Linked DNA regions of Saccharomyces cerevisiae S288C. The main gene of each other region encodes a partner of the protein of the gene in region 2 in a complex. Each region holds a gene or a part of one and is shown on either strand. Other genes may lie near its edges. The genes, in order: SSU72, PAP1, CFT1 and REF2.

Region 1 (4,813 bases), on a different chromosome or scaffold from region 2:
TCTTTTTGCTTCCTGGAACTCTATACGTACACATTTAGAGATTGAAAGTGGCAACAAATCTTATTATATGTTAATTTAAATACGGTGATCTACGCTGCCATCATAGGGCTCATTGATTCATTCCCTAGCTCTTGAAAATGTCAATGAAATTATTACCCGTCTTTGCACCTTTTTTTTTTCTAAGGCGACGAGTTTTCCATTGGCAAGACGTATAAATAGAGAGAAGAAGTTCCATTTAATAGAACTATTTTACAAACATACTTTTAGCGTTAAAATATAGTTTTTTCTTGAATTTTTTTAAAATCCTCATACTTACCTTAAGATATCAGAGGAGATCAAGAAGTCCTACTGATCAAACATGCGCTTCCAATAGTAGAAGGACGTTAAGCATTTATCATTGAACTATAATTGTTCATTGAAGTCATTGATGCAAACTCCTTGGTCACACACACATACGGCGCGGAAGGCGTGTTTGCTGACGTTTCCATTCCCTTGTTTCAATCATTGGTTAATCCCTTGATTCCTTTGGGGATTTTTGGGTTAAACTGATTTTTGGGGCCCTTTGTTTCTTCTGCCTGGAGAAGTTTGACACCAAATTCAAATTGGTGTTAGGGGAGCTGGGGCCTTTCAAAAGAGAGCTTTGTAGAGGCATTCTTTTTGACTACTTTTCTCTAGCGTGCCATTTTAGTTTTTGACGGCAGATTCGAATGAACTTAAGTTTATGATGAAGGTATGGCTGTTGAGATTATTTGGTCGGGATTGTAGTTTGAAGATGTGCTCTTTTGAGCAGTCTCAACTTTGCTCGTTCCCGTTATGGGAAAAATTTTGGAAGGTCTTGGTAGGAACGGGTGGATCTTATAATTTTTGATTTATTTTCAGAAATAAATGGAACATTTTTCTATTTATTTCTTTCTTAAAGTACTGAAACTTTTAAAGTTTCATGCTTCTATTTTCTTCATTTCAGTCCTATATCTGGTGATGTGTTTTGGAATGAAACCTGTTATACGCTACATTGAGACAAGACATTGTCCAGCTTACTAAAAATACAGTGTGTTGTATATCAAGCTTCTTGATAAAAAAATAGCTATGTGGACAACAAGCAAATAATGTGCTTAAGAGAGCCGCAACAAGAAACGTAATATTATATAATGAATATAACTAGGAAGCTATCGAAGACTTGTGAAAGTATTGAAATTTCACGGATAATGTAGGATTCATGAGGGCCGCTTAATGCTTATGCTTTTCTACAGTAATTGACCGTTTTGTTTAGTAATATGAAGGAGCGTATAATGACGGTAGTTGAGAATGTGAGCTTTGCCACTCAGTTAAAATGTCCATTATACAATCTTCAAAGGGAATGTCATCTTTTTCACATTGTTCTATTTTATCATTGAGCATATCAGCTAATTCCAATATAGCTTTGCTACCAATTTTAGCATTTTCATCATCATCTTTAATGTCAACATTAATTACATGCACTATTTTGTTTAATTTCCCACCTCTATTCATCAAATCTTCACAAACGGCATCAAAACATCTCTCTTCACAAGTGAAAACGAAGTCGAAGACTTTTGTACTTTCTTGCCATTTTTCAGGTGCTTTTTTGAGTCTTCTATTACGATCCAGCATTTGCAATAAACCGTTCGACTTGTAACGGTCTGCTGATTGTGATAAAAGATCATTATATATATCATTATAGGGTGTACCAAATGAGTACACATTAGGCTTATCTATCGATAGACCAGGCAGTCTCACAGCTGAACCTGTTCCGTAAGAGCTAACATTATAGCCTGCTTCTTGCAGGACTTTATGCGATTCCATTGAACGATTGTTGTTTGATGCACAAACTGTGCAAAACTTCAAGTTTGAATTGCGATGACTAGGCATTTTGGACTTCGACACTAGTTTATACCACCGTTGTCTTAATCTTCTTACAGGTGGTCTTTAATTCGTGCCGACTGGCCTTTTTCTTTATTATCTTTCGTTTTTTAAGTTCTTTCCACTGCCGCAGACGAAAAATACGTAAAGGATGATCAAACGAATAAGAACAAAAGAACTGGATACCTCAGTTTTAGGGAATATATTAAAACAAGTATATATGCTTATGAACTAGTGAATTCCTTACACTAGCATTTTTCATCAATAGGACTGTGAATACCTACCGTTTCCTTCTCTACAAGGACGCCTTCTACTTCATAATCTGTTAAATTCGCATTAACAGTGTGTGTGTTTCCCATAACAACAATCTTCTGTTTCTTGCAATGAATATCTTGAAAACAATCATATTCGTCTACATCTTCTGTATTTGTTGTGTGTGGGAATATTGCACCAATATCTACGTAGTCTCCCTCTAGTACTCCGAGATTTTCATTATTGCTTGCATCTTTCTTCATTGAGTTAGAACTTACACTTTCCACGTCATCCATACTACAACTCACATCAAAGTCATCCATTCTCTTAGCAAGAACATTGATAATAGCAGATTCTGCAACTTCTAGCTTCCATTGTTGCCAGTCTTTTTCGCCCTTAATCAAAATACCAATGAGCATCGAGGGATCCATTTCCGATAGTTGCAATTTACCAAATTTACTGGTATGGCACGACTCTACAAATGAATCTTCTACTGCCGGTTGAGGAATATGAGGATCGAAATGTAAAAATTCATTTCCTTGATAACCAAAAAAATACAACGATGAAGACGGCCTACCGCCGGCAATGCCTACTGACTGTGTTGAACTTAAGATACCACATATACTTTCTCTATAGCTCTCATTTACCGCATTAATCCCGAGCTTCACGCCCAACAAGAACAATATTCTACTATTTGGATTCTCAGCAAATACTTTTTCAACTTCATTTTCATAGATATCGCCGGATGAAACAGATACTATACAATCATCGATGCCACATTCGGGGAAGCCATATATTAAAGATTGTATACTCCTTGCCGTAGCTGCGGGACCAAACCATTCACCTGGTCTTTTATCAGAGAGTTCTGTACCTGCAGAAACAAAGTTATGTAACGAAAATGGAGCCTCAGGCGTGTCATTAAACCAATTTACAAATTTTGATTCTCTTTCCAGACTTTCGTTACCATTTACCCTGAAATCTCTGCCCAAATGAAGGATTTGTAAGGCATTCCCCAACAAACTTTGTCCTGTCCTTATCATACACCCCCACCCAATATCAGTGTTAAAGCAATCAGGATTTGCTATATAGTCCTCTATTGTACTGATCGGATTTGTACGTACTAATAAATTTAGACTTAAAGGTGAAGGCCCATCTGGCGCCCTTGCTATAGGAACAAATCTTGTCCGATATGTAAAGTTGACCCTTGATTGTACATCCAAAAGAAATTCCTTTGTGTAAGAAGAAATTTCCCTACCAAAAAGAGAGCTTAAAAACCCGTCACTAACCGCTTCACCGCGATATCGACAGTCTTGTTCACATTGTTCAGCGCCAGATTCTTCGTCTCGCTCAGGATATACTTCCCCTAATACTATATAATCATGATTCATAAGAGCAGCCGGTTCTTCGGACGAGCCTTCAAAAACGCCATGAGACACTTTTTGTACCAAATCCATTTTCCACAGTTGTAGCCACCTCTGCATGTATATCACTCCTATACGTGATAAGAAGTCGTCCATTCTTCATCTACTAACGTTATTGTGTGTATATTTTTACTTTTTTCCTTTGAGGCGCTATTGTTGGCAGCTGCAACGGTCACCGCCTAAAGAATAAAAGTGAAATTTGACATTTTACAATTAAATAAGATCTGAACAAAACAACAACAATTAGGCCTGCGCAGAGTTTCTAGAAGGAAGAAGTGATTTAATCGCAGAGTCAAATATAAGCATAAATTGTTGTAACCGTCAAAAAAAATGGCAAAAAGGCATAGTCATTATCAAGGAAGCAGACGTAGGCATGCACGTGGTAGCAATTCCAAGAAAGCTGGCAGGGGGAATGCTAAAGGCATACAAGGCAGAAAGATAAAGAAAAAACCTACTCCCACTAACAGTTGGCATAACTCTTCTATACCACTAGGAGAAGGTGATCTTGATGATGTAGGCGCCGACTTCAACCCAGGAAGAGCATTCATATCACCAAAAACTATAGAAGACTATTATTTTGGTCGCGATGCCAAGAGCCGTTCTATGAAAATGGGTGGTTTAAGACCAGGTAATCGATATGATTCTTCAACTGACCTACAAGCAGGAAGGGCAGCATTCCGCAAAAGACCTATGCAATTTGTAAAAGCTAAGGAAGTTTACGATCCATCCCACAATATGATTCAAAAACTGAGAGCAAAGAACGAAACAAAGAACAGTGAAGAAATTGTCGAAAGGGAAGCAGACGTTTTTGAAGAACCAGGAAAGATGACTTCTGATGTTGAATATATTAACAATGAAGACAGTGAAAACGAGGATGATGATAGTCAGAATTCACCCTCGACGGACCACTCGCTGTCTTCGAATGAAAGCAAAGTTGAAGATGGTGACCTGTTTTTTGTAGATGAAGAGGCTCAGCAATCGCCGGATCTAACCAAAATAAAAAGAGTATGTATCGAGGAAATCGCAAGGCCAAGAGAAGTTGCGATAGAGTTCGATCCTATCTTAACAATTGGAAAGGTTGAACTTAGCGTTTCCGAAGGTAACGAAAGCAAGGAAATTAGTGTTGACGTTCCAAATAAGGGTAATAAGACATATCATCCATTTGCTGGTTACATTTCCAACGTATTACATGGTATGCATACTAGCGACTCGGACAATGATGAACTAGACTACGAAATAGAAACAGAGAATAATAGTGAACC
Region 2 (4,315 bases):
GTCGGGATGGGCTGTATTGATGTAAGTTTGTTCAGCTTTGATGATATCGACAACAAACTCATTCGTAGGAATAGTAGCATCCTTTAAGAACTGAATGAACTGATTAGAAATCGCTTCTCTTAGAGCAGGATACCTTGAGTACTTTGGTTGTGAAATAATCTGTTTTAGCATACGAACAAGTTCATCAAACACCAGAGTAACTAAACGTAGAGATGGTTCTTCAAATCTTCTAATTTGCTGTTTAACTAAAACTTCAAAAGCTTCGGTACCGACAAACAAAGATGGGGCAGAACCTGAACTATTGTACATAATGGTTCTGATATCAGAATCTTTGATCTGGTCGAATGGATCCAAAGAGTCTACACCATTTTTGAAAGTTTCATGGAATACGTAAGAAATTCTAGCACCACCAGAAAGTTCCTGACTGGAAAGCTCCTTCGCCTCACCGTCCAAGATACCGGCATATTCATTGGAAAAATCAGTAATCATGCTCAAAACAACCGAACTAGCTGAATCCATAGTTTCTGGGCCCAAGTTTATAAGTTCGTTTTGATATTTTTTCAATGTGGCTTCGATTTTCGCTTTGATTTCTGGCAGAGTTTGCCTAATGTGGTGTAATAAGATTGAGTTTAACTTTTTAGCCAAATATGGTGTACCACAGTAATGAGCTTTAGAACTGTAAGAGGGATGGTTCTCAAAAAATTTTCTTTCGTTTTCAAGGGCTTCTCTGATTGTTTTTTTGTGTTCAATATCCTTTTGACCTCTATTGATAACTGGGATATAACCATATCTCAAAGGAATGACTCTTCCAGCCAAAATATCTATGACATCTGTACCTTGATCCATCAAATCGACTTTTGTCAAGACACCAATAGTTCTCGTTCCTTCTGGATCGACCTCTCTAGCCAGCTTCAAACCATCGCTGTTGGCTAAATCGGTGTTAGCGGCATTAACAGATAATATGATAGCGTTTGGTTTCGAAATATACTTTAACAACATGTCCTTAATTTGTCTTTCAATATCAGGAGGTTGGTCACCTACGGGAACCTTCGTCAACCCAGGCAAATCCACTAACGTCAAAGTAAGAACATGCGGAGAATAAATTCTCAAGTTAATGGGCACAGAAGAAATACCTGAATTGGCACCTGTCACTTTGTCAGTTTCTTTGACGATTTCCTTTCTAATTTCGTCAAAATTATAAAACTTCTTACCAGGTAAATGCAAAAATTCACCCCATTCCTCTTTATTGTCTTCAGATTGTCCCTCGTTCTGGTGCTTTCCTGATTCATCCTTTTTCTTGTCATCATCGTTGATGTTCAAGTCAATCAATTCATTAGCAGTTTGGTTTACTTTAGCATGTTCTGACTTTTTTGGTCTCCTATTAATCAATTGTAACACTAAAGGTCTCCTGGTGACAATACCAGTACCTCTTGGCAAGAAATCCCTACCAACAATGTTCTCCAAAACGGACGACTTTCCTGACGACTGGGAACCGACAACAGTGATCTGTGGTAAATCAATAGGAGATTGAGATCCTCCTCCTAAGGGCGCCAAAGCGTCCTGAAGCTTGTTAATAGTAGAAATTAAATGCTCATCCATGATATCTGATAATATAAAATGTGCAGTTTTCGTACGGTCCTTATTTTGGTGCTATAAAAGGCCTCTCTAATTCTTTTTTAGGAGTAAATAGATGAATTATCTCGGTCTGTCTTGGAAGATATGTTGTTCTCTTGATGGCAAAGCGACGCGAATCAACGGCGCCCAAGTCTTTGGGTGACCCGGCCACTTAATAATGTTTGGGGAAGAAATCAATCCATTAGAACATTGGTTTTGGAAACTAGGCCAGTCCAAGCGCACAAGTGGTTTACCCTCGAGCATTTTTCGACTATTAGAGGATTCAAGTATCTATCGAATTCTCTGAAGCTATCATACTATCCTCTGGACGATATTAGAACGATTTTTCAAGTGAAACGTTTTAGCAAAAGTTTAAAGACACTAAACTAGCTAAATAATTTCACTGTGAGCAAGTCTTTAAACGGTCTTTTTTGAATCAAAAGAGGCCTAGAATTAGCAAAATATTTAACGCATAAACTTTTTTTAGACAAATAATGAGCTCTCAAAAGGTTTTTGGTATTACTGGACCTGTTTCCACCGTGGGCGCCACAGCAGCAGAAAATAAATTAAATGATAGTTTAATCCAAGAACTGAAAAAGGAAGGATCGTTCGAAACAGAGCAAGAAACTGCCAATAGGGTACAAGTGTTGAAAATATTGCAGGAATTGGCACAAAGATTTGTTTATGAAGTATCGAAGAAGAAAAATATGTCAGACGGGATGGCAAGGGATGCTGGTGGGAAGATTTTTACGTATGGGTCCTATAGACTAGGAGTCCATGGGCCTGGTAGTGATATCGATACTTTGGTAGTTGTTCCAAAACATGTAACTCGGGAAGATTTTTTTACGGTATTTGATTCACTACTGAGAGAGAGGAAGGAACTGGATGAAATTGCACCTGTACCTGATGCGTTTGTCCCGATTATCAAGATAAAGTTCAGTGGTATTTCTATCGATTTAATCTGTGCACGTCTAGACCAACCTCAAGTGCCTTTATCCTTGACTTTATCAGATAAAAATCTACTGCGAAATCTAGACGAGAAGGACTTGAGAGCTTTGAATGGTACCAGAGTAACAGATGAGATATTAGAACTGGTACCAAAGCCGAATGTTTTCAGAATCGCTTTAAGAGCTATTAAGCTATGGGCCCAAAGAAGGGCTGTTTATGCTAATATTTTTGGTTTTCCTGGTGGTGTGGCTTGGGCCATGCTAGTGGCTAGAATTTGTCAACTATACCCTAACGCCTGTAGCGCAGTTATATTGAACAGATTTTTCATCATTTTGTCGGAATGGAATTGGCCACAACCTGTTATCTTGAAACCAATTGAGGATGGCCCGTTACAAGTTCGTGTATGGAATCCAAAGATATATGCCCAAGACAGGTCTCATAGAATGCCCGTCATTACACCAGCTTATCCATCAATGTGTGCTACCCATAACATCACGGAATCTACTAAAAAAGTCATTTTACAGGAATTCGTAAGAGGCGTTCAAATTACGAATGATATTTTTTCCAATAAGAAGTCCTGGGCCAATTTATTCGAAAAAAACGATTTTTTCTTTCGATACAAGTTCTATTTAGAAATTACTGCATATACAAGGGGCAGTGACGAGCAGCATTTAAAATGGAGTGGTCTTGTTGAAAGTAAGGTAAGGCTTCTAGTTATGAAACTGGAGGTGTTAGCTGGAATAAAAATTGCACATCCTTTCACCAAACCCTTTGAAAGTAGTTATTGTTGTCCAACCGAGGATGACTATGAAATGATTCAAGACAAATACGGTAGTCATAAAACTGAGACAGCACTGAACGCCCTTAAACTGGTAACAGATGAAAATAAAGAGGAAGAAAGTATTAAAGATGCACCAAAGGCATATTTAAGCACCATGTACATAGGCCTTGACTTTAATATTGAAAACAAAAAGGAAAAAGTTGACATTCACATTCCCTGCACTGAATTTGTGAATTTATGTCGAAGTTTCAATGAGGATTATGGTGACCACAAAGTATTCAATCTAGCCCTCCGCTTCGTAAAGGGTTACGATTTGCCAGATGAAGTTTTCGATGAAAATGAAAAGAGACCATCAAAGAAGAGTAAAAGGAAGAATTTAGATGCTAGACATGAAACCGTGAAGAGATCTAAATCAGATGCTGCTTCAGGTGACAACATCAATGGCACAACCGCAGCTGTTGACGTAAACTAAGACATTCCTATTTATAGTTGAATAGTTTATTAATATAGGTTAATCAGTCATAAACAAATTTGTACCCTTTTTTTTGAATCAAAGTACTTTTTTTACGAAGCAGTAAAACGTTTACGAGATTCTCTCTACATATGCTCTTTCGCGTGTAGCGACATTTTACCATTAGGTGAGAATTTTGTGTTACAAGCTGGATGTCAGGATGATACCTTTGAAGGCATAGTTAAATTGGCTGGGAAAGGAACGGAACCTTTTCCTTTCCGAGTTTCGGCCAGATATTTAGGCTTTTTTTTTTCTGACGGAATAGGGGACCCAGGATTGACAAATATAACAAAACAAGCTTCAACGAGACGTTTATCTCGAGAATTACGTCTGACAGTTACATGAAGTGTGAGTTCATGCAATCTGTACCTTTATTGACACAGATATACTAAAAGAAGTTACAATGGGCTCCAAAAAACTGACCGTAGGATCTGATTCGCACCGGTTGAGCAAATCCAGTT
Region 3 (8,072 bases), on a different chromosome or scaffold from region 2:
CAACGCTCACAATTCTGAAAGTGCAGCAATTACAATCACCTCAACTAATGCTCGTTCGAACAACAAGCTAAAGAAGAATATCGATACTAAGGCTTCCAAGGGTAGGAAATTGAACTACTCAGTTCAAGATCCAATTGCGAATTATGAAGCCCCCATCACATCCGGATACAAATGGTCAGACGACCAAATCGATGAATTCTTTGCGGGATTGTTAGGTCAACGAGTGAACTTTAATGAAAATGAGGATGAGGAACAACATGCCAGAATAGAAAATGACGAAGAATTAGAGGCTGTTAAAAACGATGATATCCAAATCTTTGGTTGAATATACATTTATTTTAAATACGCACAACTCATTTAATTTAGGGCTTATAAGTAGATAGAAGGATTTTAACGGATCACAAAAAGTAGCTGTTAACAACTACCTTTTTTTTGAGTTAAGAACACTAATGTGGATTAGGAAGAAACAGCTGCTCTGCACAATTCTTCAAAAAAACAAAACATGCTTAATGTGTCATTATTTAACCTGGAAATATAAAGGTAGTGTTTTATATAAGAAATATCATTAAGGGAATCCTCTATAACTTTTTAGTTCGTTTCAACGAGGTGGGAATGCCAAATTTTCTCTATGAGCGACATATTCGCTGTCATTATAGCCCAATTCCTCTTCGATTTGGTCACTGTGCAAACCTTTAATTTTAGTTAATTCAGAACTCGTGTAATTGCATCTTGCCTTGCCTACTGTTTGCAAGGGAAAATCTGGATCTAACGTGCCATCTGGTAACTTTTTACCAACTTTTATGTCAACACATTCTAACTCATGGAAAGTGCCCTGAACATCAATAACACCTGCTGGCAATAATCCCGCCTTATTTTTCCTTGTTAAGGCTGCGTACGCACCTTGGTCTATAACAACAGCGCCTTTAGAGACAAGACCGTGTAAAATCCAAAACTCTCTATTCTTTAGATGGTGTTTATTATCATTAGCAATGAACTTCGTATGTAGTGGAACGTTAAGAGCCTTTAATTTCTCAAATTCTCTTTTTTGCAAATCCGTTAAATCGCCATTATATGCTTGTTTAACTTTATTTTCATCGTCAAGTTCTAGAGTTTGCATATACTCGACAATTCTACCTATATTCGCAGGTGTATCGCTTTTCATGATCAACGTATGAACACCGGCATTCGTTGCCAAATCTGCAGCAACCAATTTAGTTTCCATACCACCGGTCCCAACGTCAGAACCTGAACCACCAGCAGTATTCACACCGGGCAAACCCTTTGAGAGATCTGGGACAACTAAGATCGGCATGGCATCTGGGTTTGTCCTTGGATTATCAGTATACAAACAGTCAACATCTGTCAGTAAGAAAAGATAATCTGCATGGATTAAAGCAGAAGTAATTGCTGATAAAGTGTCATTGTCACCAAATTTGATTTCTCTAACAGATAGTGTGTCGTTTTCATTCACAATGGGAATAACGCCCATGTTCAACAATTCATTAATTGTGTTTTGAGCGTTCTTATATTGGGTCCAGTCCAGAATATCATTTCTGGTCAATAGAATTTGAGCGATACGTTGATCAAATTGCGAAAACAGAAGATCCCATCTCCCGATCAATCTACCCTGCCCAATAGCTGCGATGGCCTGAACTTCTGCTAAATGTTTTGGTCTTTTATTCATACGCATAGTCCTCAAACCAACAGCAATACCACCACTGGACACGATGATAACTTTGTGTCCCATTCTTCTCAATTTGACTACAGTTTCGACAATAAGCGACATGATAGCTAACTTAGGTTCTTTGGTTTTTTCATCTACTAGCGATGAAGAGCCTAATTTGATCACTATAGTATACGATTTACTCTCATTAGCATCCTTCATTTTCGCGTTCTTATGACTATATTACAGTAGCTGATAAAATGACCTAAACTATGCCTATCTTTGAAGCAACTAGACATTAATCTTGAAAGACCGTTTTGATGGATGAATAATTCATCGAGAAAGCATTAGTTCGCTGATGTAATTTTTCATTTCCTGCCATCATGCGATGTGTGGGTGCTATTTATTTTCAATTCCTTTACCAAGGTACCTGATAGTGTCATAAATAAATAAATTTAGACCAAAATGTAACCATTGATAAGTGAGAGTCTTAAATTTAACATGTTCATACTTTAACTGGTGCTCAACCGATATATTATGATTCACTGTGCCACTGACCAGCCCTATTAGTGACATTTTGTGCTTCCTCATCCCGTCGGCTCCCAATAAGACAACGTAGTAAGTGATCTTAATATAAGGTAAGTTCGAGGTGACATATTTCACAGAGCAGCGTTAAAGCAATCATATGTAAATTGAGGAAGATCACCGTCCCTTGAACACTTCACTGATTAAAACTATCAGGTACTAACCTAGATTCGCTTTTTACTCTAGCTACTGGCCCTATGAATGTATATGATGATGTGCTTGACGCTACTGTTGTGTCTCATTCATTAGCAACACATTTTACTACTTCAGATTATGAGGAGCTCTTAGTGGTGCGAACAAATATCCTTTCTGTCTACAGGCCTACTAGGGATGGTAAACTGTATTTGACTGATGAGTTTAAGTTTCATGGCTTGATCACCGATATAGGCCTCATTCCCCAAAAAGACAGTCCGTTAAGTTGCCTGCTTTTATGCACAGGCGTCGCTAAAATCTCTATTTTAAAGTTCAACACGCTAACAAACTCAATCGATACCCTAAGCCTGCATTACTACGAAGGAAAGTTCAAGGGTAAATCGTTGGTAGAGCTGGCCAAAATTTCCACCTTGAGAATGGATCCTGGAAGTTCTTGTGCCTTACTGTTCAATAATGACATTATCGCTTTTCTACCCTTCCATGTCAATAAAAATGACGACGATGAGGAGGAAGAAGATGAGGACGAGAACATAGACGATAGTGAATTAATCCATAGCATGAATCAAAAATCCCAAGGGACGAATACTTTCAATAAGAGGAAGAGAACCAAGTTAGGTGACAAGTTCACGGCTCCAAGCGTGGTATTGGTAGCGAGTGAGTTGTACGAAGGCGCCAAAAATATCATAGATATTCAGTTCTTGAAAAATTTTACTAAACCAACGATAGCGCTCTTATACCAACCAAAGCTTGTTTGGGCAGGAAACACCACCATTTCAAAACTCCCTACACAATACGTTATACTCACATTAAATATCCAGCCTGCAGAAAGTGCCACCAAGATTGAATCAACCACAATAGCATTTGTCAAGGAACTGCCTTGGGATCTACACACCATTGTACCTGTTTCGAATGGTGCTATCATTGTGGGAACCAATGAACTGGCATTTCTAGATAATACTGGCGTTTTACAATCGACAGTATTATTAAACTCATTTGCTGATAAAGAGTTACAGAAAACAAAAATTATCAACAATTCTTCATTGGAAATTATGTTCAGGGAGAAAAACACTACGTCAATTTGGATACCTTCGTCCAAGAGCAAAAACGGAGGAAGTAATAATGACGAAACACTACTACTTATGGACTTGAAATCCAATATATACTATATCCAAATGGAAGCAGAGGGCAGGTTACTGATTAAATTCGATATTTTCAAGCTACCTATAGTCAATGATCTTTTGAAGGAGAACTCCAATCCAAAATGTATAACACGTTTGAATGCCACCAATTCAAACAAAAATATGGACTTATTTATTGGGTTTGGTTCAGGAAATGCTTTGGTTCTCAGATTGAATAATTTGAAATCTACCATTGAAACAAGAGAAGCACACAATCCATCTTCAGGTACAAATAGTTTGATGGATATCAATGACGACGATGATGAGGAAATGGACGATTTATACGCCGATGAAGCTCCTGAAAATGGACTAACAACTAATGATTCCAAAGGCACTGTGGAAACTGTTCAACCTTTCGATATCGAACTGTTATCATCTCTAAGGAATGTTGGTCCCATCACATCGTTAACTGTAGGTAAGGTATCTTCCATTGATGATGTGGTAAAAGGACTACCAAATCCAAACAAAAACGAGTATTCGCTAGTTGCCACATCGGGAAATGGTTCAGGTTCTCATTTGACCGTCATACAGACTAGTGTTCAACCGGAAATTGAATTAGCATTGAAATTTATCAGTATAACACAAATCTGGAATCTGAAGATCAAAGGAAGAGATAGGTACTTAATAACTACTGATTCCACAAAATCCCGGAGTGACATATATGAAAGTGACAATAACTTCAAACTTCATAAGGGCGGCCGTTTAAGAAGAGATGCTACTACAGTTTACATTTCAATGTTTGGTGAAGAAAAAAGAATAATACAAGTCACCACCAATCACTTATATTTATATGATACACATTTTAGACGTCTCACCACAATTAAATTTGACTACGAAGTTATTCATGTTTCCGTCATGGATCCGTATATACTAGTTACCGTATCAAGGGGTGATATTAAGATATTTGAATTGGAGGAAAAGAATAAAAGAAAATTGTTAAAAGTTGATTTGCCAGAAATTTTGAATGAAATGGTTATTACATCTGGTTTGATTTTGAAAAGCAATATGTGTAATGAATTTTTGATTGGGTTGAGTAAGTCTCAAGAAGAACAGTTATTGTTTACATTTGTTACTGCAGATAACCAAATTATCTTTTTTACTAAAGACCATAATGACAGAATCTTTCAACTAAATGGTGTTGACCAATTAAATGAATCTTTATACATTAGCACTTATCAACTGGGCGATGAGATCGTCCCTGATCCATCGATTAAACAAGTAATGATAAACAAACTGGGCCATGACAATAAAGAAGAATACCTGACAATATTAACCTTCGGAGGAGAGATTTACCAATATAGAAAATTACCACAAAGACGTAGTAGATTTTATAGAAACGTTACAAGAAATGATCTAGCTATTACTGGTGCTCCTGACAATGCATACGCCAAGGGTGTTAGTTCCATCGAAAGAATCATGCATTACTTTCCCGATTACAACGGTTATTCGGTAATATTTGTAACCGGTAGCGTTCCATACATATTAATAAAAGAAGATGATTCCACACCGAAGATTTTCAAATTCGGAAACATACCATTGGTTTCAGTCACTCCCTGGAGCGAGCGTTCAGTCATGTGTGTAGATGATATTAAAAACGCCAGAGTTTACACACTAACTACTGACAATATGTACTATGGTAACAAATTACCATTGAAACAGATAAAGATCAGCAATGTGCTTGATGACTACAAAACTCTGCAAAAACTAGTCTATCATGAAAGGGCTCAATTGTTTCTTGTATCTTATTGCAAGCGGGTTCCTTACGAAGCATTAGGAGAAGATGGCGAAAAAGTAATTGGTTATGACGAGAATGTTCCTCATGCGGAAGGATTTCAAAGTGGAATTTTACTCATTAATCCAAAAAGTTGGAAGGTCATTGATAAAATCGACTTTCCAAAGAATTCTGTCGTCAATGAAATGAGATCCTCTATGATTCAAATTAATTCAAAAACTAAGAGGAAAAGAGAATACATTATAGCCGGTGTTGCCAATGCCACCACTGAAGACACTCCACCAACTGGCGCTTTCCATATTTATGATGTGATAGAAGTTGTTCCCGAACCTGGTAAACCTGATACCAATTATAAGCTCAAGGAAATTTTTCAAGAAGAGGTCAGTGGTACTGTATCTACTGTTTGTGAGGTTAGTGGAAGATTCATGATTAGTCAAAGCCAAAAAGTTCTAGTAAGAGATATCCAAGAAGATAATTCCGTCATACCAGTGGCATTTTTGGATATTCCTGTTTTCGTTACGGATTCTAAAAGCTTTGGTAATCTTTTGATAATTGGTGACGCTATGCAGGGGTTCCAATTTATTGGTTTTGACGCAGAACCATACAGGATGATTTCATTGGGCAGAAGTATGTCGAAATTTCAAACAATGTCGCTAGAGTTTTTAGTGAACGGAGGGGATATGTATTTTGCGGCAACAGATGCTGACAGAAATGTTCATGTTTTAAAATATGCGCCAGATGAACCCAACTCTCTTTCGGGTCAACGTTTAGTCCACTGCTCCAGTTTCACGTTGCATTCCACCAATAGTTGTATGATGCTTTTACCAAGAAACGAGGAATTTGGCTCTCCTCAAGTGCCATCGTTTCAAAACGTTGGTGGCCAAGTGGATGGGTCAGTCTTCAAGATAGTTCCTTTAAGTGAGGAAAAATACAGAAGACTTTATGTGATTCAACAACAAATCATCGATCGAGAATTACAGCTAGGTGGTTTAAACCCTCGCATGGAAAGATTGGCCAACGACTTTTATCAGATGGGTCACTCTATGAGGCCTATGCTTGATTTCAACGTTATACGGAGGTTCTGTGGATTAGCTATTGATAGACGGAAAAGCATTGCGCAGAAAGCAGGAAGACATGCGCATTTTGAAGCATGGAGAGATATCATAAATATTGAATTTTCAATGAGATCTTTATGCCAGGGTAAGTGAACAATACATATAAAGGATATTTAATGCTAACTAGCCCGATATATACATCTATCTATCACTAGGCATTCGAGTAGTGAATAAGAACCACTACTTGAAACACTAGATTTGTAACAATAACGCATGTATCATCGTACATTTTCGGAACTATTTACGTAACGCGGGGATGAGGAAAAAGTTACTTTTTGCACAGCAAAAAAAACAAATAAAGAACAGTTAGTGAAATAAAGCAAAAGTGCAAACGGTGCCTTTAATCAAAGACTTTGCAGGAACATAAACAAGTGCACTAAAGAAGGTCCAATTTAAATATGCCAGCTAAAAAAAGGACTAGAAAGACAGTGAAAAAAACCGTATCATTCTCCGATGACACAACATTAACAACGCACCAAAATCGTGAGAAAAAGAACGTAGATCATGATCGTCCACCTGTGTATGTGAGGAAAACCCCTCTGATGACATTTCCATACCATTTAGTAGCACTACTTTATTACTACGTTTTTGTATCTTCAAATTTCAATACGGTGAAGTTGCTAAGTTTTTTGATTCCTACACAAGTTGCTTATTTAGTTTTACAATTCAATAAATGCACAGTTTACGGTAACAAAATCATTAAGATCAATTACTCATTGACCATTATTTGTCTAGGTGTTACATTTTTGTTGAGCTTTCCCACAATGTTATTAACTATATTATTTGGTGCGCCATTAATGGACTTATTGTGGGAAACCTGGCTGTTGTCACTGCATTTTGCATTTTTAGCATACCCTGCAGTTTATTCTGTATTTAATTGTGATTTCAAAGTGGGATTATGGAAGAAGTATTTTATCTTTATCGTTGTAGGGGGTTGGATTAGTTGTGTTGTCATTCCTTTGGATTGGGATAGAGATTGGCAGAATTGGCCAATTCCTATTGTTGTTGGAGGTTATTTGGGCGCTTTGGTGGGCTATACTATCGGTGCCTATATATAATATCGGTAATTTAAAAATTTGTATATAAAAAAATATAAGTATGATAGAGGTAACATAAACTGGTCCTATGCACAATTGAAAAATCTATGACAAAAACTAAATGATCTTTATACCAAACCCACCTATATGCTATTTGTACCATCTTAAAAGAAGGTAATAACTTCCATACAGATAAATAGCTAACAACATTAAATATCTCCCACTCTCCTCATTCTTTTCTTTTCATAATTTCCTTTTTCTGATTTATTCATTCTATATAAAAAAATAATACAAATCCTCAGATTAAATAATAAATACTATAAAAGTCTCAACTTCTTCTTTAATTTGTTTGAGTCGCTTTAGCTACGAATAGCCTCAAAAACTTCGTTGAAATTCTCCTTTGTTAAACCGAAAGTATCCGAATTTGCGTCGCTATCAACAGGAGCTGCTGCGCCTAAAACTCCATTAGAAACTGTGCTATTTTTCCTCTGTTCATAAAAATCCGTTTTTATCAGAGATTCTGAAATTTTACTCAACTCGTGATTTAATTTAATCAACTGCTCTGCAGATATGCCAGAAAATCCGTTATTAATGGAATAATTTGAATCG
Region 4 (5,591 bases), on a different chromosome or scaffold from region 2:
GTGGTTTAGGTTTCATGTCTTGTCCTCTCGCGAATACTTTTATTTCGAAGCTAATTTACTATATAAAGAAGGTTGAAATCGCATGATAAGCTAAACAGCGTAAATAGAATTGCCGGAGCAAAATTCGTATAAGACATAATTTCCCTCCAGGCCGTAGCCAGATTAATGCTCAGTACACTGTAAAGAATTTTTTGTTTATTTTTAAGATAAGACAAGATGTCATTGATATTATTGCTAGATCACTAACAAATGGTATTTATTGATTTTTCTTTCGCAGAGCGGCACTTTAACTAGGATTTAATCATAAAAAAAAAAGTGATTGACACTGTTATTCAGTTCTGGACTATCGTATAGACTATTTTCATTGTTAATAGGCTCAGCTGTTCATAAAATATGTGAAAATTTTTCAACGATTACCAAGCCCACGATTGTCTCGTTGGCAATATTCAGAATGAAGTTTTCGTAATATGGCTATGTCCGTGATCAATCGCCTAAGACACCCTGACTTTTCAAGTAAATTCTCAAAAGCTTTCTTCCATCCGTTTAAATAAGAATTACAATGTTAGAATTACTTTTCCTTTGAGAGGAGGAAGAGCGAAAGTAAGAATGGAGGTACCGGTCGTAAATAAGCATTGACGAATAAATATACCAGTAGGATCTTCGTATAGTTATCATTTTAAGAGAATAGGAGAAGAAAAAAAATTTTTGTTTAATATTTATATACTAGGTATTTACACGTGAAAGTATTGAATCAAGATGGGGTCTAAAATACAGGCGTCTTAATAGAGGAATTGTTATTTAAAATACAACCCACATCTCTTGGTCCTCCTTTTTTATCTTTTCTAATATATGTTGCTGTTTCTACTGGAGTAATTATTTTTATCATTACTACGGGAGAATGAGCGTCTATTGTTGTTGCTGCGTCTAAACGGTTCGTCATCGTAATCTCTATTTTGGCTCCTATTATTATAGTTTTTGTTGCCTCTGAAAGAAATTTCTGAATCATCATCATAATCGTAGGACTTGTTATTTCCATCTCTACTACTATAGTCTCTAATTTCAAACATTGCCTTACCAATTGGACTACGGCTCAAACCTAATTTATCTAAAAACCTTCTGGATACTGGAATCTTTAATTGAGGATCATTTAACAGTACACCATAAGTGGAAGCAATTTCAGGAAGTATGCGCCTTTCAGAAAACCTGTATTCCTTGATACAGGATCTGTAGGATGAGATTAAACTTATTACAATATCTGATATGTCTTCCGGTTCTTCGGTCACTGCCTCTAGGACCTCAGATTTTATTTCTTCACTGGGCTCATATTTTTCTTGTTTGGCAATGACTATATTTTTTGCATCTTCCAACTCTCTAACAAATGGCAATTCATCTTTACAAATGAATAGCACAGAAGATCCTTCTTTCCCACTTCTGGCTGTTCTACCAATTCTATGAATATAATTAGCCAACTCAGATGGAACACCAATTTGCAAAACTTCGTGGACGTTTGGGAAATCCATACCACGGGCTCCCACATCCGTACAAACCAAAATACCGGATTCATCTTTTTTGAATCTTTTAACTAAACTTGTTCTTTTATTTTGAGTAATTTTACCATGAAATTCCAAAATTGGTAAATCTTTCTTAAATTCATTCTTTAAAATACTGCACAAAAAGGATGTGAATTTAACAGTTGGTGCAAAAATAATGGCTTTGTAATTAGAATCTCTTTCCTTTATTTGTTTCTTTATATGCTCCACAGCAGCAAATATACTATTGGCAAACTTTTCTGAAATGACGACAGACTGATCAATTCTTTCATGTGCTTCAGGTTCATTCTTATCTACTGTGTCTAAAAAGAGACATTCTTTTTTATTCATGATATTGTTTGCCAACTTTTGTACTTTGTCGTCCAGAGTAGCAGAGAACAACAAAGTCTTGATATTATCGGCTGATTTGGAGTTCTTTTCATTTAAAATACCAGAAATAGTTTCTAAATCATCCCTGAATCCAATTTCTAGCAATCTGTCAGCTTCATCTAGCACTTTGTAATCTACGAACCTAAAAAATTTGTTGGAGTATTTTTCCAAAACATCAATCAATCTCCCTGGAGTGGCAATTACAATGTTTGGTCTCAACTTATTCATTTTATTCATAGCTGCCCTGAAGTCAGTACCACCAACTAAAGAGACACAAGCGTACTTTTTCAAGCCATAATTCATATCGTGGATTTTTTTCACCTCTGCTTCGATTTGCAAGGCCAAATCTCTTGTTGGTGCGACAATAACAGCTTTTACCATATATTGAGAATCGAACTTCGTATTTATCAAATGCTGGAAAATTGGAATCAAGAAGGCAAATGTCTTACCTGTACCGGTTTTAGCTCTTGCGATAACATCATGGTCTTCACTGGATAATATTGGTTTGATAGTCTTTTGCTGTACAGGAGTTAAACCGGGAAATTCCATCCTGGTAATGGCTTTATGTATTTCTTTATCAAGGACTCCTTCCTCCAGTAAAGAGTCCAGCGTTACTTCTTTACTATTATCTTCTTTTGGGACGTGAATTAGTTTGGAAAAAGTGGTCTTATCAAAGTGCACTTCATCATCGTCTTCTCTAGACCTTGTCCTTGGGCGAGAATTGAAACGGGAGTTTCTATACCTGTTACTGTTGTTGTTTCTCTGATTCCTACCAAAATTTCTTTGATCTCTGTTTCCATCATTGTATAATCTTCTTGAAACAGCCCAAGTAATATGGTTGCAATTCGAGAGAGCTGCTAATAAATTTCTGCTTGCAAGAACAGGTGTGCGACCTTTTATCAATATAGAGGTCAACATTTATCAGCCTAACGTGCAACTCTGGTATTTTCTTGCCACTCTGAGACACCATAGTGGCCATCAATACTTCCCTTCTTTTTATAGGAAAATTTTATTCTTTCTATAATATCACTACAGACGGAGAATGAAACAGATGATGATTGAAGCATCCATAAGTAAAGACACTTTGAGGTTGCTAATTTGCTTTTTTGAAATAAAACAGTGCCATATATCACTCCAGCCTACTTGTTATTATCAGAATTGGGTACGGTATTCATCTATATATTACCAGTTGTAAATCACGATATATCACGATACACGACTCTCCGGCGCCAGCGTTTTTCGTCAGTTTTTCTCAAGGCGGTATAAAAAATCGATGATATTCGATTGAGGCACTTGTTAACAAGCATACACTGTTGGAGGCAGAACAAAACAAGCATAACTCTTTTGTACTGTATTGTACTCTACCGCTCTGTATCACGTCGGCACACCAACGGTTTCTTTTGGCGGGTCTATTATATATATTATATATACTTTTATCAAGACATCGTGTGAGTAAGTGAGGTTAAAGCTCAAAAACCTACAAGCAAAGGCACAAGGAAATCGAAAGGACCAAGAAAGGAAAAGAAAAGAAACGATACGATAAGTAAAGACACTGTGGAAGAATTGAACAATGTCAGCACCTGTTCCTCAATTAGTAAATATTTCTCATGCCTTGCAAGCTTCCACTATCCAGCAAATTCGTTTGGATATGGTAGATTTTAATAAAGATTGCAAATTATCTTCCATTCAACTGGCAAGAATTGACAAGTATATCGATTCTTTGCAAGCGGCTTTGAATCAGTTTACCAAAGATAACTTGCACATAGAACGGAAGGAAAAGAACGTGACTGAAGCAGATATACAGCTGTATTCTGGCTTAAAATCAATGTATCTAGATTATTTGAACCAGCTAATTAAACTAAAGCATGAGAAACAACACCACTCTACACCGCCCATCGCTAATGATGTCTCCCTGGACTTCTTCGTTAACCAATTGCCTAAGTTTTCTCCCGAGGAAAGGAAAAATTACATTGACAATTTAATCCTGAATAAAAATAGCCATAATCGATTATCTAAAATGGATGGTCTGGTAGATGCAGTCATCAATTTATGCGTCTTGGATACTTCCGTTGCTGAAAATGTACGATCCTATATGAAATTATTAGATACATTGGGTTTCCAAAAGGGTTCGAATAGTACTGGTACAAAGGCCAACCTCAAAAAGAAATTGGCTAGTTCGAAAGCAAAGATAAAGGATTCAGAAAAAGAAAAGGAGAAGGAGAAGGATAAATCAAAAGTCAAGATGAAAACTAAATTAAAACCTTCTCCTTTGCTCAATAACGATGACAAAAATTCTTCTCCATCGCCTACTGCATCTACCTCTTCAATGAAGAAATTGAAGTCGGGTTTATTCAATAAAAATGAAGCTAAGTCTACAGAATCTCTACCTACTTCTTCCAAGAAAAAACTATCATTTTCTAAATATCTGAACAAGGATGACGCAGATATGACCAAGCTTGGGACTAAACGGTCAATAGATGTGGATTTCAAAGTCAACCCCGAAGCATCCACGGTGGCTTCTAATATCATATCTTCGTCAACGTCAGGATCGTCAACCACAACGGTAGCGACTCCTGCTTCTTCAGAAGAGCCCTTAAAAAAAAAAACCAAAATATCCGTGCAAGACTCTAATGTACAATCGATTTTGAGAAATGGTAAACCGAAAAAAGCACGCATAAGTAGCATCAAATTTTTGGATGATTCCCAACTAATAAAAGTTTACGGTGACGATCTACCGAACCAAGGGCTACAAGTTTCTCCTACTCAATTGAAAAAAATTCTGAAACCATTCAAGGAGGGGGAACCGAAGGAAATTATATTGTTCGAGGATATGTCAATCAAATTAAAACCTCTTGATTTGATGTTTCTGAAGAACACAAACAGTGATGACTATATGGATATATCCGAGACTAAAGGTGGCCCAATACATTGTGAAACAAGGACCCCGTTGATCTATAGAAAAAATTTCAATCATTTCAACCCGGACTTGAATAAAAGGCCGCCAAGAGAACCCATAGAATTCGACTTAAATGGAAATACGAACTCAACCCCGACTATAGCAAAGGCTTTCGGTAAAAATAGTTTATTACTAAGGAAGGACAGAGGTGGTTTGCCATACAAGCATGTCCCCATAGTAAAAAGAAATAAATATCCTCCAAGACCAGTACACTAAGCTATGACATGCTGATACATAAACATGTAGTATATATACTCATTTTATATAATGTAATTATAAGATATCAACCTTATACCGCTGAAGACTTTTTATTTTGAAGTTTTTTCATCAGTAATCTGGACATGACGATGCTACTGGCACTTACGGCCCCAAAAGGTGGGAAATACTCCAAAACAGTTCTTAATTTACTAGGTTGGATTTTTTTTACAACACTTTCAATCTGTTCGTATAAGTCAACCAATGTGCTGTTATTTTGTAGGATATAGTCAGATCTTGCCATCCTTTCTTCAGTGCTCATTTGACTATTTAGCCTGTTTTTTGCATCTTCTTCACTAAGTTCAGGATTTCTTGTCATTAATCTTTCTAGTTGCAATTCTTGCGTACAAATTACGCTTACAGTCACTCCGCATATTGAATCCAGATTTCCTTCAAATAAGAGTGGCACATCCAATACACACATTCTATATCCCTTCAAGTAATAGTAGCCAATTTCTTTG

The links.
Region 1: PAP1 (region 2) and SSU72 share a complex: the UniProt entries of both Saccharomyces cerevisiae proteins name them as parts of the cleavage and polyadenylation factor (CPF) complex.
Region 3: PAP1 (region 2) and CFT1 share a complex: the UniProt entries of both Saccharomyces cerevisiae proteins name them as parts of the cleavage and polyadenylation factor (CPF) complex.
Region 4: PAP1 (region 2) and REF2 share a complex: the UniProt entries of both Saccharomyces cerevisiae proteins name them as parts of the cleavage and polyadenylation factor (CPF) complex.

Annotation. Positions count from the first base shown.
Region 1 is NC_001146.8:226,168-230,980, reverse strand, and holds SSU72 (RNA polymerase II subunit A C-terminal domain phosphatase), read right to left. Parts: upstream 1,888-4,813; coding exon 1,267-1,887; downstream 1-1,266. Other genes in the region: cysteine protease ATG4, read right to left, coding at 2,127-3,611; SQS1 (Sqs1p), read left to right, coding at 3,882-4,813. UniProt on the Saccharomyces cerevisiae protein: Component of the cleavage and polyadenylation factor (CPF) complex, which plays a key role in polyadenylation-dependent pre-mRNA 3'-end formation and cooperates with cleavage factors including the CFIA complex and NAB4/CFIB.
Region 2 is NC_001143.9:441,124-445,438, forward strand, and holds PAP1 (polynucleotide adenylyltransferase PAP1), read left to right. Parts: upstream 1-2,108; coding exon 2,109-3,815; downstream 3,816-4,315. Other genes in the region: dynamin-like GTPase VPS1, read right to left, coding at 1-1,599; oxysterol-binding protein OSH6, read left to right, coding at 4,258-4,315. UniProt on the Saccharomyces cerevisiae protein: Polymerase component of the cleavage and polyadenylation factor (CPF) complex, which plays a key role in polyadenylation-dependent pre-mRNA 3'-end formation and cooperates with cleavage factors including the CFIA complex and NAB4/CFIB.
Region 3 is NC_001136.10:1,060,907-1,068,978, forward strand, and holds CFT1 (cleavage/polyadenylation factor CFT1), read left to right. Parts: upstream 1-2,445; coding exon 2,446-6,519; downstream 6,520-8,072. Other genes in the region: rRNA-processing protein BFR2, read left to right, coding at 1-325; PRO1 (glutamate 5-kinase), read right to left, coding at 599-1,885; mannose-ethanolamine phosphotransferase GPI11, read left to right, coding at 6,825-7,484; RSC3 (Rsc3p), read right to left, coding at 7,823-8,072. UniProt on the Saccharomyces cerevisiae protein: RNA-binding component of the cleavage and polyadenylation factor (CPF) complex, which plays a key role in polyadenylation-dependent pre-mRNA 3'-end formation and cooperates with cleavage factors including the CFIA complex and NAB4/CFIB.
Region 4 is NC_001136.10:845,110-850,700, forward strand, and holds REF2 (RNA-processing protein REF2), read left to right. Parts: upstream 1-3,489; coding exon 3,490-5,091; downstream 5,092-5,591. Other genes in the region: MSS116 (ATP-dependent RNA helicase), read right to left, coding at 843-2,837; YDR194W-A (uncharacterized protein), read left to right, coding at 2,962-3,114; CAB5 (putative dephospho-CoA kinase), read right to left, coding at 5,165-5,591. UniProt on the Saccharomyces cerevisiae protein: RNA-binding component of the cleavage and polyadenylation factor (CPF) complex, which plays a key role in polyadenylation-dependent pre-mRNA 3'-end formation and cooperates with cleavage factors including the CFIA complex and NAB4/CFIB.